3 linked regions of the Oryzias latipes genome follow. The protein of the gene in region 2 purifies or fractionates together with the protein of the main gene of each other region. This does not show direct contact. Links are inferred from orthologs where the notes say so. Each region holds a gene or a part of one and is shown on either strand. Other genes may lie near its edges.

What was found. Proteins that work in one complex are often made in the same cells at the same time.
Region 1: the proteins of vps50 (region 2) and eipr1 purify together in Homo sapiens (affinity purification with mass spectrometry; 4 studies listed by BioGRID and IntAct, counting the BioPlex papers as one, with this or other methods). This does not show direct contact. The link is inferred for Oryzias latipes from reciprocal best matches to the Homo sapiens genes VPS50 and EIPR1.
Region 3: the proteins of vps50 (region 2) and vps52 purify together in Homo sapiens (affinity purification with mass spectrometry; 4 studies listed by BioGRID and IntAct, counting the BioPlex papers as one, with this or other methods). This does not show direct contact. The link is inferred for Oryzias latipes from reciprocal best matches to the Homo sapiens genes VPS50 and VPS52.

Annotation. Positions count from the first base shown.
Region 1 is NC_019880.2:20,755,633-20,759,996, forward strand, and holds the start of eipr1 (EARP-interacting protein), read right to left. Parts: upstream 2,822-4,364; 5' UTR 2,687-2,821; coding exon 2,645-2,686; intron 2,505-2,644; coding exon 2,421-2,504; intron 1-2,420. Other genes in the region: trappc12 (trafficking protein particle complex subunit 12), read left to right, coding at 3,406-4,364. UniProt on the Homo sapiens protein: Acts as a component of endosomal retrieval machinery that is involved in protein transport from early endosomes to either recycling endosomes or the trans-Golgi network.
Region 2 is NC_019869.2:10,068,563-10,072,212, forward strand, and holds part of vps50 (syndetin), read left to right. Parts: intron 1-860; coding exon 861-979; intron 980-3,650.
Region 3 is NC_019869.2:3,226,651-3,230,865, forward strand, and holds the start of vps52 (vacuolar protein sorting-associated protein 52 homolog), read right to left. Parts: upstream 2,822-4,215; 5' UTR 2,664-2,821; coding exon 2,568-2,663; intron 2,137-2,567; coding exon 2,055-2,136; intron 1,313-2,054; coding exon 1,260-1,312; intron 858-1,259; coding exon 782-857; intron 371-781; coding exon 303-370; intron 1-302. Other genes in the region: rps18 (40S ribosomal protein S18), read left to right, coding at 2,969-2,971, 3,722-3,820, 3,897-3,983. UniProt on the Homo sapiens protein: Acts as a component of the GARP complex that is involved in retrograde transport from early and late endosomes to the trans-Golgi network (TGN).

The DNA of each region.
Region 1 (4,364 bases), on a different chromosome or scaffold from region 2:
CTCAATTCTGATTGGCTGCAGAGTCTCAATTAGAAAGATAATGGGCACCAAAAAAGGAAATTCAGGTCATACAAGCCTGAATGTTTTATATTATTGAACCGGGCTGAAGATTGGAAGATAGGTGGACAGATGTTATTCTACAGTTTATTACAACAGGAAGACAGTAGAAGAGATCTGTGTCCTTCAAATGTCTCTATGATGGACGTGTCAGAATTAATTACCATCAATGGCAATGTTGCCTTTCATTTTAAACAGTTTGTTGCATGTGGTCCTCTCTTATTGTCTTTCTGTATTGCTTACCTTGGTGCTTGATACAGTATTGAGGATCTATGAGTGATTTAATGGTCAGAGTTAAGAGTGAATAAAGGTGATCTAGGAAAATACTTGTGGACTTTGTTTCTTTGAAACAAACTTTTGCTTCATCATCTGGACAAAAACAAGGAATAAAAAGGTAAACCTTCTCTCTGAAATGATGCTTTGGATCAACTATCATGAAGGCTCGGTAGCCGTTACCATGACAACTGCATAACAATTGGTCCACATCTTGTGAAAATGATTCAAAGGTTAAAAAAAACAACTGGATTAAAGCACTATTATTTTATTTAATATTTGTTTCTTTCATAAATGACCATGGTATAAGCAGGATAATACCGTTTGTGGTGTCCATTATCCATTAAATAATTGTTGGATTAACTATACAAATTGGGAAATGATGATAGTAATACACACCAAGCAAAATGTGTTTTAGTGCATCAGTGCAAAATGCAGCTTTGCTCGTCTCCTAACTAGGAGGTGAAAATATGGTCACATGTCCCCCGTTTCAGCTTCAATCATCCATGATTGACATTGTTCCTTTTAGAATTCGTTTATTGGTTTTTGAATCCTTCCATGCCTCGGCACTGGTTTACCTCTCTGAGCTGATGCAGCCTTATGTCTCCTCCTGACCTCTTAGATCAGCTGCTTCTAAAAGTACCGTACAAACTTAGAGGGGACCACACTTTTGCTGCAGCTGGTCCAAAACTCTGCAGCGACCTTCTGATTCACGTTGGAGAGGCCAAGAATCTGGATCCAAACTGTGCGGCTGGTGAGCTGCGATACTGCATTTTGTTAGGTTGGGGGTGTGAGGGGCTGTAAGCTAGTGGGTCAAAGTGTAAACAAAGGAATGATGGGAAATAAGGGCTGGCTTACTCCGCGGCAAAAGTACAGCCCACAACTCAGAAGTGAATTTCTAATGAACTCCTGGCACTCTGCAGAAACTATGTCCTAGAAAACGACAGTTTTTTTTTTTTATCCTGGCTAAAGATGGCATCATCATCATAAAAAGACAACTGGGAACATTTTGAAAATGAATCAAACGATGATTGGAATGGGACTTTGGAGAACCGCTAAAACCTAGATTGAAATGGGGTGCCAACAATGGCTAGGATATCAAACTAAATATTAATATCAGGTTTGATAACAAGAAGCGTATCAGAATGTTGAATACACGTGAAGGGATCTGTAAAGGAGGGAAAAATATGAAACCAGTAAAATATTAAAATTGATAAATACAAGGAGGAAAAAATATAAAATGTTTTTATTCTATTTTGTGGAGAAAAAAAAGTAGGACCACCACAACTATATTTTCAGACACAAACAGAAAGATCAAGGTTTTGTGGTGAGAGGCAACTTTAAAATGGATATAAGGACAGGATAGTTGAATTCTCTAAACACTGAAAGCTAGAAACAACTGAAAAAACTACATATCTGACAACCTAACTCAATCCTTAAATTCTGTCCATTTCAAATAAAGAACAGCAAGCTTAAAGAAAACAGTGCCGTTGGAGTGAAATTCTCATTCTAACTACTACTCAGACGGTAAACTTTTGACATCTGGATTGGATTTGTTAAATACATTCTATCGATCTGATCTTCTGTCGTAAAACTCACATCTTTGAATCTCTGAGATCTGTGCAAGACGGAAAATCTGACTTTTTATTAAGTAAGAAAATTAAAACTAAGAAGTCCTCACCACATATAACTTGTAGAAAGGAAGTTTGTGTTTTGGTTACTGTACCAATTCCTCCCAGCCAAATAAATCTGCTTACATCAGGCAATGGTGGCAAACAAACTTTCTAGTAGTAGAAAAACGCCCACTGACCACTGCAGCAGAGCCCACAGGTGTACCGCCAAACAGGTGTACCGCCAAACAGGTGTACCGCCAAACAGGTGTACCGCCAAACAAGTCAGTGAGTCTGCAGCATGTTTCACATCACCAGTTAAGATTTGGAAAATTTTTCATCATGGGTGAAACCTCCAGACTGCTCTGGACTGGTGCTTGTCCCACAAGTGCATGTCCCATAAAACTGTCCATTTAAAAGAGACAAGCCTGACAGGAAGCAGCGTTATAATCTGAAGGACACCTGCTGAGTGCTGCTCACCTGGTTATCAAACTTTAGGGACTGGGTTCCCACCAGAAACCGAATGGCATCAGTCTCAGCTGTTTGGGCTGTCAGCGCACGCGCCTGTAACAGGAGGAAAAACGACAATAGAATAGAATAGAATAGAATAGAATAGAATAGAATAGAATAGAATAGAATAGAATAGAATAGAATAGTTTCTTGGTCCGAATAGTAATGAATGATGGTTTAGTGGGTATGTTTACCTGAAATTCCAGCCCGTAAATGACAGGGGCGTCGTCTTCCATCCTTCAGTTTGCTGTTGCAACAAAAACACTTTTTCACCGAGAATAAAAAAGCTGCTAAAATGCTTTATTTCCACCCCGTGCTTCTCATTAAAAACAGCAGCACTTCCGCGAAGTGATGCGTAACTAAAGATTCAAGCGTAACGTGAACATACGTCACTACGGTTTTAAGAGCTCGAGCTCTCTGCTCTTTTTACGTATGGTGGTTTCGGGAATGTCAAAGCAGTCCTGTTCACTAAGTTTGTCCTTTCTAGGGAACCTTACTAAGGATTTCCTCGGGTGACGCATGCGCACTGTAAGCCTATCTGTCAGTCGATAGTAAGGTAGGAAGCATGATCGTAATTGTCTCTTTTGGGGCATTTTTTAACATTGTTTTGACACGTTTGTACGTTTTTGCTTTCTGAAAATGTTATACATCTATTCTGCTGTCCGTGGTAGAACCCGAACGGACCTCGAGAGCTGGAGCTTAGCCGATTGATGAGCTTCCGGTAGCCAAACGGCTAGTACGCAGCAACATACACAGCATCAGACAGATCTGTCTACCTTAAATGGAGACTTATTGAGATTACTTTAAGCGCAAATGAAGTACTTTGAATATAATTAGTGTCTCCGAACAAGCGGAGGTGACAGGAAGTAGTCACAATTTGGGTTTTGTACATCATCATGACTGGTTGAACTCACCTGGTGATTTCTGATGTGTTTAACCTTTTAGGAACAGTAAGATGGATGCAAGGGAAGCTCCTTCCCAGAGGCCTGACACGTTGGACATCACAGACGATGCCGACCCTGCAGCCTCATCTTCAGAGCCGGCAGCACCCGGCAGCTTGGCCCCCTTCAAGGACAACATTCTGGCCCTGGAGGACAGCATTGATCTGGGAGGAGCAGAGTTTGCGACACCCCACGAGGACAGCAGCGCCACCCCCTCAGAGAGCCTGATGGACAGGTTGAACGACCAAATGATGGAAAGCGTCATGATTTCTGATTCACCTAACAACAGCGAGGAAGAGGATGTGGCTCCCATCGACTCATTTCTGGATAGAGGGGAAGATGAGAGAGCAACTGAAAAGGATGAAGGGAAAGAGGCTGAGATGATACAGGGGACAACTGATACAAAGATTTTTGTGGAGCAGCAGAACAACATATGTTCAGAAGAGGGCCCAACAGAGCAGATGAATACACCAGAGGAATCCAAAGACATTGTTTCACCGCAAAGTGACAATGAGAGTTTGTATGTTAGTGGATGTGAGGAACCAGAATCTCAGTCACCCCAGGAGACAGAATCAAAAGACCAGCCTGTGCCGGTGTGTACAATCTTCAGCCAGAGTGCACAGCCTAAGTCACTGGTGGCTGATGGCTTCAAACCCACCCTGATCAAATCCCCCAGTTTTAGCATGGGAAGCGATGGAGCCAATGAGGACACAGCGACCCCTCATAAGCAGAACATTCCACTAATGTGTCAGCCAAGCCCTAGTCTCAGTAAATTCTTCACTGACAACGGGCAGGTCAATCCAGCCTCTGATTTTTTTGATTCTTTTACCACCCCTTCCTCCTTCATCTCCATTTCCAACCCAAATGCAGAGGTGCCTCCTGGGACTGGAATGGCAGCTGGAGCTCCTACAGCTGAGCACCAGCTGTCCTCCACATCCTCCTCCATCTCCACCCCAGGTGGGAGTTTGAACTC
Region 2 (3,650 bases):
GCAGCATAGTCGCAGAGCTCCAAATGGATCATGGCACATGGATTTCTATGATAAACTAAAGTAGGGAAGAGTGATACATCAGGGCCAGTATCGGTATGGACTGATTTTTACATAACTGATTGAGATTTTGTCAGAAGGAATCTACTGATATTCTTCAGACACTTTAGTTTGTGAAATGTGTACTTGTTCCTAATAGATTTGGACGCTTATGTTTACAGTCATAGTCAGTAATTGACTGTTTTCAGGTAAACGTTATTTTTATTTTGGACACATGTTGTTCCTAAAAGATCCCTGGCAACTGGGAGTCTACAGTTTACAGTTATGCCGAATATTCAATGAATGATCTGAATGCTTATAGATATATTTATAGTAAAGTGTTAAACTGATACTTGTTACTATGAGATCCTTTGCTGTATATTAAAAAGGTAAAATATAAGAAACAAAAAAGAAATCTAAACTTTGTGTTGCTGTAGACACTTAAGTATCAGTATCAGCAAATATCAGGTGAAATACTGGTATCTGTCCTAAACCTAAGTCTTATGGCATCACCATAAAGGGCAGCATTGATGAATGTAGCCATCTTGTAATGTGGATGGAGGCTTTCATAGCCAGCTTTATTCTCGAAAAAGCGTATTTTTCCTTTTGGATATTTAGACATTTTTCTTATTATTTTACACGTTTATTCTCATAGATTTTTGACTTTTTTTCTCATATATTAATGTATTTTTCTCTTGCATGGTGGCCCTAATACTCTGTTATACTTTTCTTTGGGAGATTTTTGCTTCCACTTTCATTTGAATTCAGTGTCTTGACATTTTCTCCAAGGGAAAAATCTGATCGCTCTTTTCGTATTTTTCCAGTATGAGTCAGATGAGCTGGAGAAGAGCGTGTATCAGGAATACGACAGCGACAGCGACGTCCCTGAGGAGCTCAAGCAGGATTATGTTGACGAGCAGACAGGTGACGCCCCTCTGAAGAGGTCAGTACTAACTCAAGCTGTCACAGAATGACATTTATTAAATTCGGGCCTTGTCAGATCATCTATGTTCAGAAGATACAGTGAGCATAGACGTATTTGTTAGATGACAGAGGTTTGTAATGGTCATCATGATACACTTCAGCTATGGGAGACAGATTGTAAAATAAAAAGTCCTGAAAATCAAATTGTTTGATTTTTAAAGAATTTATTAAGAGAACTAGGCAGAAATTAATTATTTGGCTTCTCGTCTTTTGAGTGGGCCAATTTGCAGAATCTTTCATTCATTCATCTTCTAAACCCGTTTTGTCCTTTTCGGAGTCACGAGGCTGCTGGAGCCTAACCCGGCCATTTGTGGGCTAAGGTCGCCAAAGGTCGTGGACAGGTCGCCAGTCTGTCGCAGGGCCACAAATCACACACCCAAATTCATACCTAACGGCAATTTAGAGTAACCAATTCACCTATGACGCATGTTTTTGTACGGAAGCTGGAGTTTTTGGAGAAAACCCACGCATGCACGGAGAGAACATGCAAACTCCACACAGAAAGGTCCCCTCGCAAGAGCGCTAACCACTGCGCTACCCTGTCAAATGAAGCTGGAGCTAGGGAATGCTAGCTTTAGGGTCTGACCGGCCCGGTTGAAGCGGCCTCGATCGCTGACGAGCTGTCTAGGGTGTATGCCGCCTTCGCCCAGCAGTAACAGGGCCAGCCAACAGCAACCCGCACGGCCCCACCGAGTTAAAAAACGGATGGAAGTTCAGGAAGAAAACGCTTGCATCAAGCAGCCACGTGTGATTTATTTTTCTACCCTTCGATGGAGTCACTGATAACGCCACGTGCCCAAATCTGAGTTTCTTGCCGTGCTGCGGCCGATGCCCAGATCACGCTGTAGAACCTTAGATCATGTCAGTACATTGAATTTACATCAAAACCTGACGCCCCTGATGCACAAAGTGTGTTTTGTGTTAATGCAGCATTAGTCAGACTCTTCATTTTTAACCCTTATGTGGTGTTCGGGTCTGTGGGACCCGTTTTCATTTTTTATCAAAAGAAAAATTATACAATTAATTAATTTTTCAAACTCAGACTCACTGGCCTTGGCTCATTTTCTGTGAAGAACATATATCAGAATACATTTTTAATGACCACACACCGTATACCCCCCCAACACATTTATATTACATATAAGATGTTCGGGTCCACTGGACCCAGGGCTAATAGAAGTGTGGGAATTGATGTTTTATGTACCTACACTCTGTCCTCCACCTGTCTGGGCCTGCTGTGTGTGTGTGGGTGTGTGTAAGTGTGTCTGTGTGTGTGTGACCAGTGAGAAAGAGAGAGAGAGAGTGGCAGAGAGAGAAATTTTCACTGTAAATGTGAGTTCTGTTTCTGCACCTGCGGTTCCCGCGCAAGGTTGCAACATTGTTAGAATAATTCAAGAATCAACTCTGTTTGCTCTCGTTCTCCCGCACATTTGACATTTAACCATTTGACTTTCTTGCGGGAATCTTTAATATTTCGCTCTTTATCTGCTACAAATTGGAGGCGGGACACGTTAAATATAGCTTTGCCAGTGTGGTTTCTTATCACAACTGATCAAAATGGCCAAAAAGCTTTCTGCGCAGAGGGCCCTGGAATTGATTTTAGAAGAGAGTGACGTTTTTGATGATGATGTAGAGGGAGACGATTCAGAAGAGGAGGTTTCAGAATTAGAGGATCACATTTCTGAAAATTCAGAGTCTGACAGTGACTCTGAAGAAGATGATTAGATTGGGGCGGCTGTGGAGCAGCGGTTGGGTGGTTGGCCCATGATCGTAAGATTGCAGGTTCAATTCCCGCCTTGCACGCCCATGAGTCGAAGTGTCCTTGGGCAAGACACTGAACCCCACCTTGCCTCTGGTGGTAGGCGGGCGCCTGTGTTTGGCAGCGGAGCCGCCACCAGTGTCTGAATGTGTGAGTGAATGTGTGTGACTGGGTGAATGGGTCTGTGATTGTAAAGGGTTTTGTCCTTGTTGGAAGAAAGGCGCTATATAAGTATACGCCATTTACCATTTACCATTTAGATTGAGCATCAGCCAGTTCCAAAACGAAGCCATCAGCACCCAGCCGTCAGCAGCCAGGACCATGTGTTGTATAGGCTAGTGGCTAGAAGGCCATGTGTTCAATGGGGCTGATGTGTTGTCTGGACTAATAGGTTTACTCTATGTGTTCAGCTTGTGTTGTGCACCTGAATGGGTTCAGTTTCTGTGTTCAAATAAATAAAAGTCAGTAGTTTTGAAAACCCTTGCTTCACTTGAAAATTTGTTTCCACTCATATCTTGACTTTAATTGATTTTCTTTATCACGTTTTAAATAATGAGTTATGAATGTGATCTAACAAAGGTAAAGGGCAAAAATTAACCAAATATACTGATTGTAAATGGATAAGGTAAACATCTGTCGAGTATTTTAACATCAAAGTGTTTGATTGTGAGGCATTAAAAACCACAACATGCAACGGGTCCACCAGACCCACGAACACTGGCTGAGTAACAACAATATGAACACCACACAAGGGTTAAATCCCATGGTTAAATACTACTAGTCATTCCTCCGACACACTTGATGCATCACCTTCCAGTCACTCTATATAACTTAGAGGTGATAATGATTGATTATTAAAAAGGTTGCATGA
Region 3 (4,215 bases), about 6.8 Mb from region 2:
TAAATAACCATAATTATGAATAAAACTGTGTGTAGATGTACCTTAAATAGATTTACAAATGAATGAGTGAATCTTTCTGTCCTTTACTCATTTCTAGAAGCCACAACTATAGTTGTTGTTTAATTGTTCCTATTAATATATCTACCTGGAACATTTGAGAAGCAAAAGAAATGTTGTTTTTTTTTTGCATTCATAATCTTCTTCTCACACATATCCAGTTTGTTAAGCTAAACCAAAGCTTGCATCGAGTGTCCGGGAGCAGTTTTCTCAAAGACAGCAGCAGGTCTGAGATCTTTTCTTACCTCCAGTATGGAGTCACAGGCAGTGATCTGGTTATGCAGGAGAGCAATGTTCTGACTCTCCTTAATGTCTGGAAGACAGATAATCAGGAAAACTGTACAGAACATTTCCATAAATAAAACCTTTGTGAAACATTTACTGGCTTCATCTTTTCATTTTAATGGATTAAACCTTTCATACTGCAATGGATTAAAAATGTATATATAAACTTAGATTTCCTATTTAAGTTTTCCCTAAAAAGACAAAAAATTAAATGTTACCGGTTACAAAAAGTTCGATCGACACTCCGTCTTTATTCTGATCTATGTTTATAAGATATTGAAACCAATCAAAAACACACAAAGCCATCTGTAATACCAGATTTAAAAAAGAAATTAGCTGTATATTAATTCAGCAAAGTTAAAGAAAGAAGAAAACTAGCAGAATAATAGTTTGGCGTGTTCTCATTTCAGGTCATTTTTTAACAAATATTGAAGGATACAGTCTTTAATAGATGCCTGCTCAATCCTCTGCAGCTCCGTCTCCACTTGTTTGGAATACTGACGCAGATCAACCCCCTAAAACGAAGGACAATTGACCGGCAGACAGAAAGTCAGCAGTTTAACATTAAACACAACATTCATATGACTAACTAAATTCATCACAGCCATTGTTGTTCTTCTATTAAGAGGTATTGAGGTTTAAAGTAAACTAAAAAGGCAAAATAAACCTTTACTTCTAGAGATTTTCAAAGAACAACAAAAGGATCTCATTGTTCGGATGATTTAAAGCTGTTGCTTGAAATAAACTGAGTGTCAAAGCCTGGAGAGATAAAAATACTAATAAATAATTGTTAACAGAGGCTAATGTCTGGACGTGGAGAAAATCTGCTCTTTGATACATTTAGTTTAAAAAAATCTATTCCTCGTATGACACATGAATGAATTGGTTGTCTTAAACAACTGAGCTCCATGTTTTACCGTTTTGAGCGCCTCCTTCACAAGATCATCCTCCAGATTGGCCTGAATATGAACTGAAAAACAGAAAAAAACCACTGATTTATTACAAAAAAACAGTTTTCAAACAGTGACACTGAAAAGCAATGACGGATTCTGCATTCCACTTTGACTATAAGTTCAAAGAATATAACAGGGGAGTAACAATTCATTTTAACAGTGATTCAATATCTGTGGTTAAGATTCCATTTTGGTTCATTGACCTAAAATAAATCCAGAGCATCTTTACCCAAAAATTCCACCAGTGTGACTCAGAGATAAATATTTGGGTCCGGAACAGTTCAGGGAAAGTTTTCCACATTCATTTTATTTTTTGCAACATAATCTACTGTAGAATAAATATTAAGAATTAATGCTAAATCTATTGACATTTTTAGTTTCCTAAAGTTCAGCCCACTGTTATTTTTCCACATCAACATAATCCAAACATTATTAGAACATTCTAGCACACTGTATGTCTTTGATCAGTTCAAAGTGTTTCCACACATTGGACTGGAATGATGGATTTATTATATTTGGATGCTATCACACGTGTGTATTGTACGCTGTAATGCACTTGGTCATGTTATAGTAGATTAAACCTACCCTGTCTCAGTCCATATGTTCCCATTTCAATTTGATTACTGATTCATCTAATTTCGCAACGATTTTTTAATTGCATTCCTTCCTCAGGCTGATCAATCTGGTTTGATCCTTGAAATACAAATCTATTCATCGATTATTCGTTACACCTGTAGAATTGTAGCAGTTGTTTCTTACCGTCGACTTCATCTAAGATGAACTCGTCTGTGGTGAGATCCAACTCCCCAAGGTTAAGAGTTGGGAAGTCTCCATCAGTCTTCTGAGAAAAAGACACAAAGTAATAAAAAAATATATATACATCCTGATGAGACGTAGACCCCTGCTTAACAAACAAACTATGAATAAAAACTGACTGAAAGAGAAAGTCAGTTTTGTTTGACAACAACTAAGCCTTAATGGACGTGATCAGAGACTAGTGATGCTACGTATTCAGGAAATTGTTCATTGCGGCAAACAAGAAGAGAGGGTAGACTTAAAACAACAGATCCAGACTGGTTCAAATTGACCTTTTATATCACACGTTTATCTGAAATGTTGTACTCTGCAAATACGTTTTAAGGAATTAGACAGTTCTTGACTTGTCTGCCAACAATTCAATTAGTTTCCAAATATGCTAACAGGGCAATCAGACAAATATCCCCCCCCCCCCACACAGACAGACACTAGACTTCTAAAATCAGTAAATGTCACCTCGTTTTGGAGATACGACATTGCTATTTCTGTTGGATTTCCTGATGTGTTTACATCCGATATCGCTCCTATGTTTGCTGCCGCTTCCGCCGCCATATTGGCAAATTGTGTAGATAAAGGAAAAAAAACGTTCCACCCAGTTAGTTACTGCAGCATTTTTTTAGGCATGATAAAAAGAAATGTCACATATAAATCTATCAGGCAAATAGGCAAGAACTTTTATTTTTATGAAGTCTATTTGATCAAAGTGAATCATTTTCGTGTCCATATTTTTTATTTTAAAAAAACAATCAAGTCCCTGCCGGACAAGTTAAACACCGCGGACCAACTTCCGTTTCCAACCACCTCAACCTCTCGCGAGAACTCCACGACTTCCTCTTTGCACGGAACCGACATCCAAGATGGTATGAAACATTTTCTGGCACTGTGAAACAGTCTTGAAATCTAGAGTAATCCAGCTTTATTCGCAAATTCTGTCCTTAAATCATCGGTGTTTTCAAACATTTATTCGACAGCGAAGCTATAGAATAGAATATTGGCTACACAATCATGAAGATGTTTTGTAGGAAAAGCGATTGAAAATGTGAGCGCCGACGGACTCTAACCGGCTAGCATTTCCTATGTTAAAATTCTGATGTTGCTCAAATTAAAGTTTTAAATACTCGCAACATTTCCAATACAACCTAAGTATTTTTAAACTGTCTCCCCAATTTGGTTGCGAGTTTTTTCTTAATTGAAACTGCTTGTGCGATCATGTTTGTAGGCTAATTTAGCCGTGATACTAGGTGTTGGGATTGCATGATATTTTCTAGCTAATGTGATCTGTACAAGATAATACAAACACTGTTCCCTTTGTGTTTAACAACTGCTTTGTTTTGGCCCTGCAAAGCCACCGTTTAGGCAACTTGTGTCTTCAAGCTCATGTATTAGCTTACCATACATACAGAACCATACAAAAGTATCTGATCAAATTACTGTAAGGTACAAGTGTTTTTTATGCTACCAAGCAATATTGAGCCATTAGAATGTTTTGTGTATGCATAGTTTCAGTTATAGTAGAGCATCACTTATAAATTTCTCTGATGTTGGTACAGAATGAGGATCATTTGAAGGATCTCACATGTTCAACTTTTGTTTTTGTTTTTTGTTAATAGTCTCTGGTAATCCCCGAGAAATTCCAGCATATTCTTCGTGTACTCAACACGAACATCGATGGTAGGAGGAAAATCGCCTTCGCCATCACCGCCATCAAGGTAATCTGATTGTGGGACTATTCATGTATCTGCAGAAAATACAAAAAAGTAAACGTTATTGTCTATCTGGTTACAGGGTGTTGGCAGACGTTACGCCCATGTTGTCCTGAGGAAGGCTGACATTGACCTCAACAAGAGAGCTGGAGAGCTAACGGAGGAGGAGGTAAGGCGGCAATGAATTCTCTAAGTTGTTTGTAAATGAGTGTTTGATTTAAGCAACAGTGTTTTGGGGATACAACAAGAAAAATGGCTGTAATTCGAATGTCTTGATTTGCAACCAAACGCAAAAGCGGATGGTAAATCATGAAGATGCACATTGCTGCCTTGCCTGCACATATTTTAAGCGCATGCAAGGTTAAGTGTTGCTAATGGTTGCACGTGTTTGCAGCAACCCT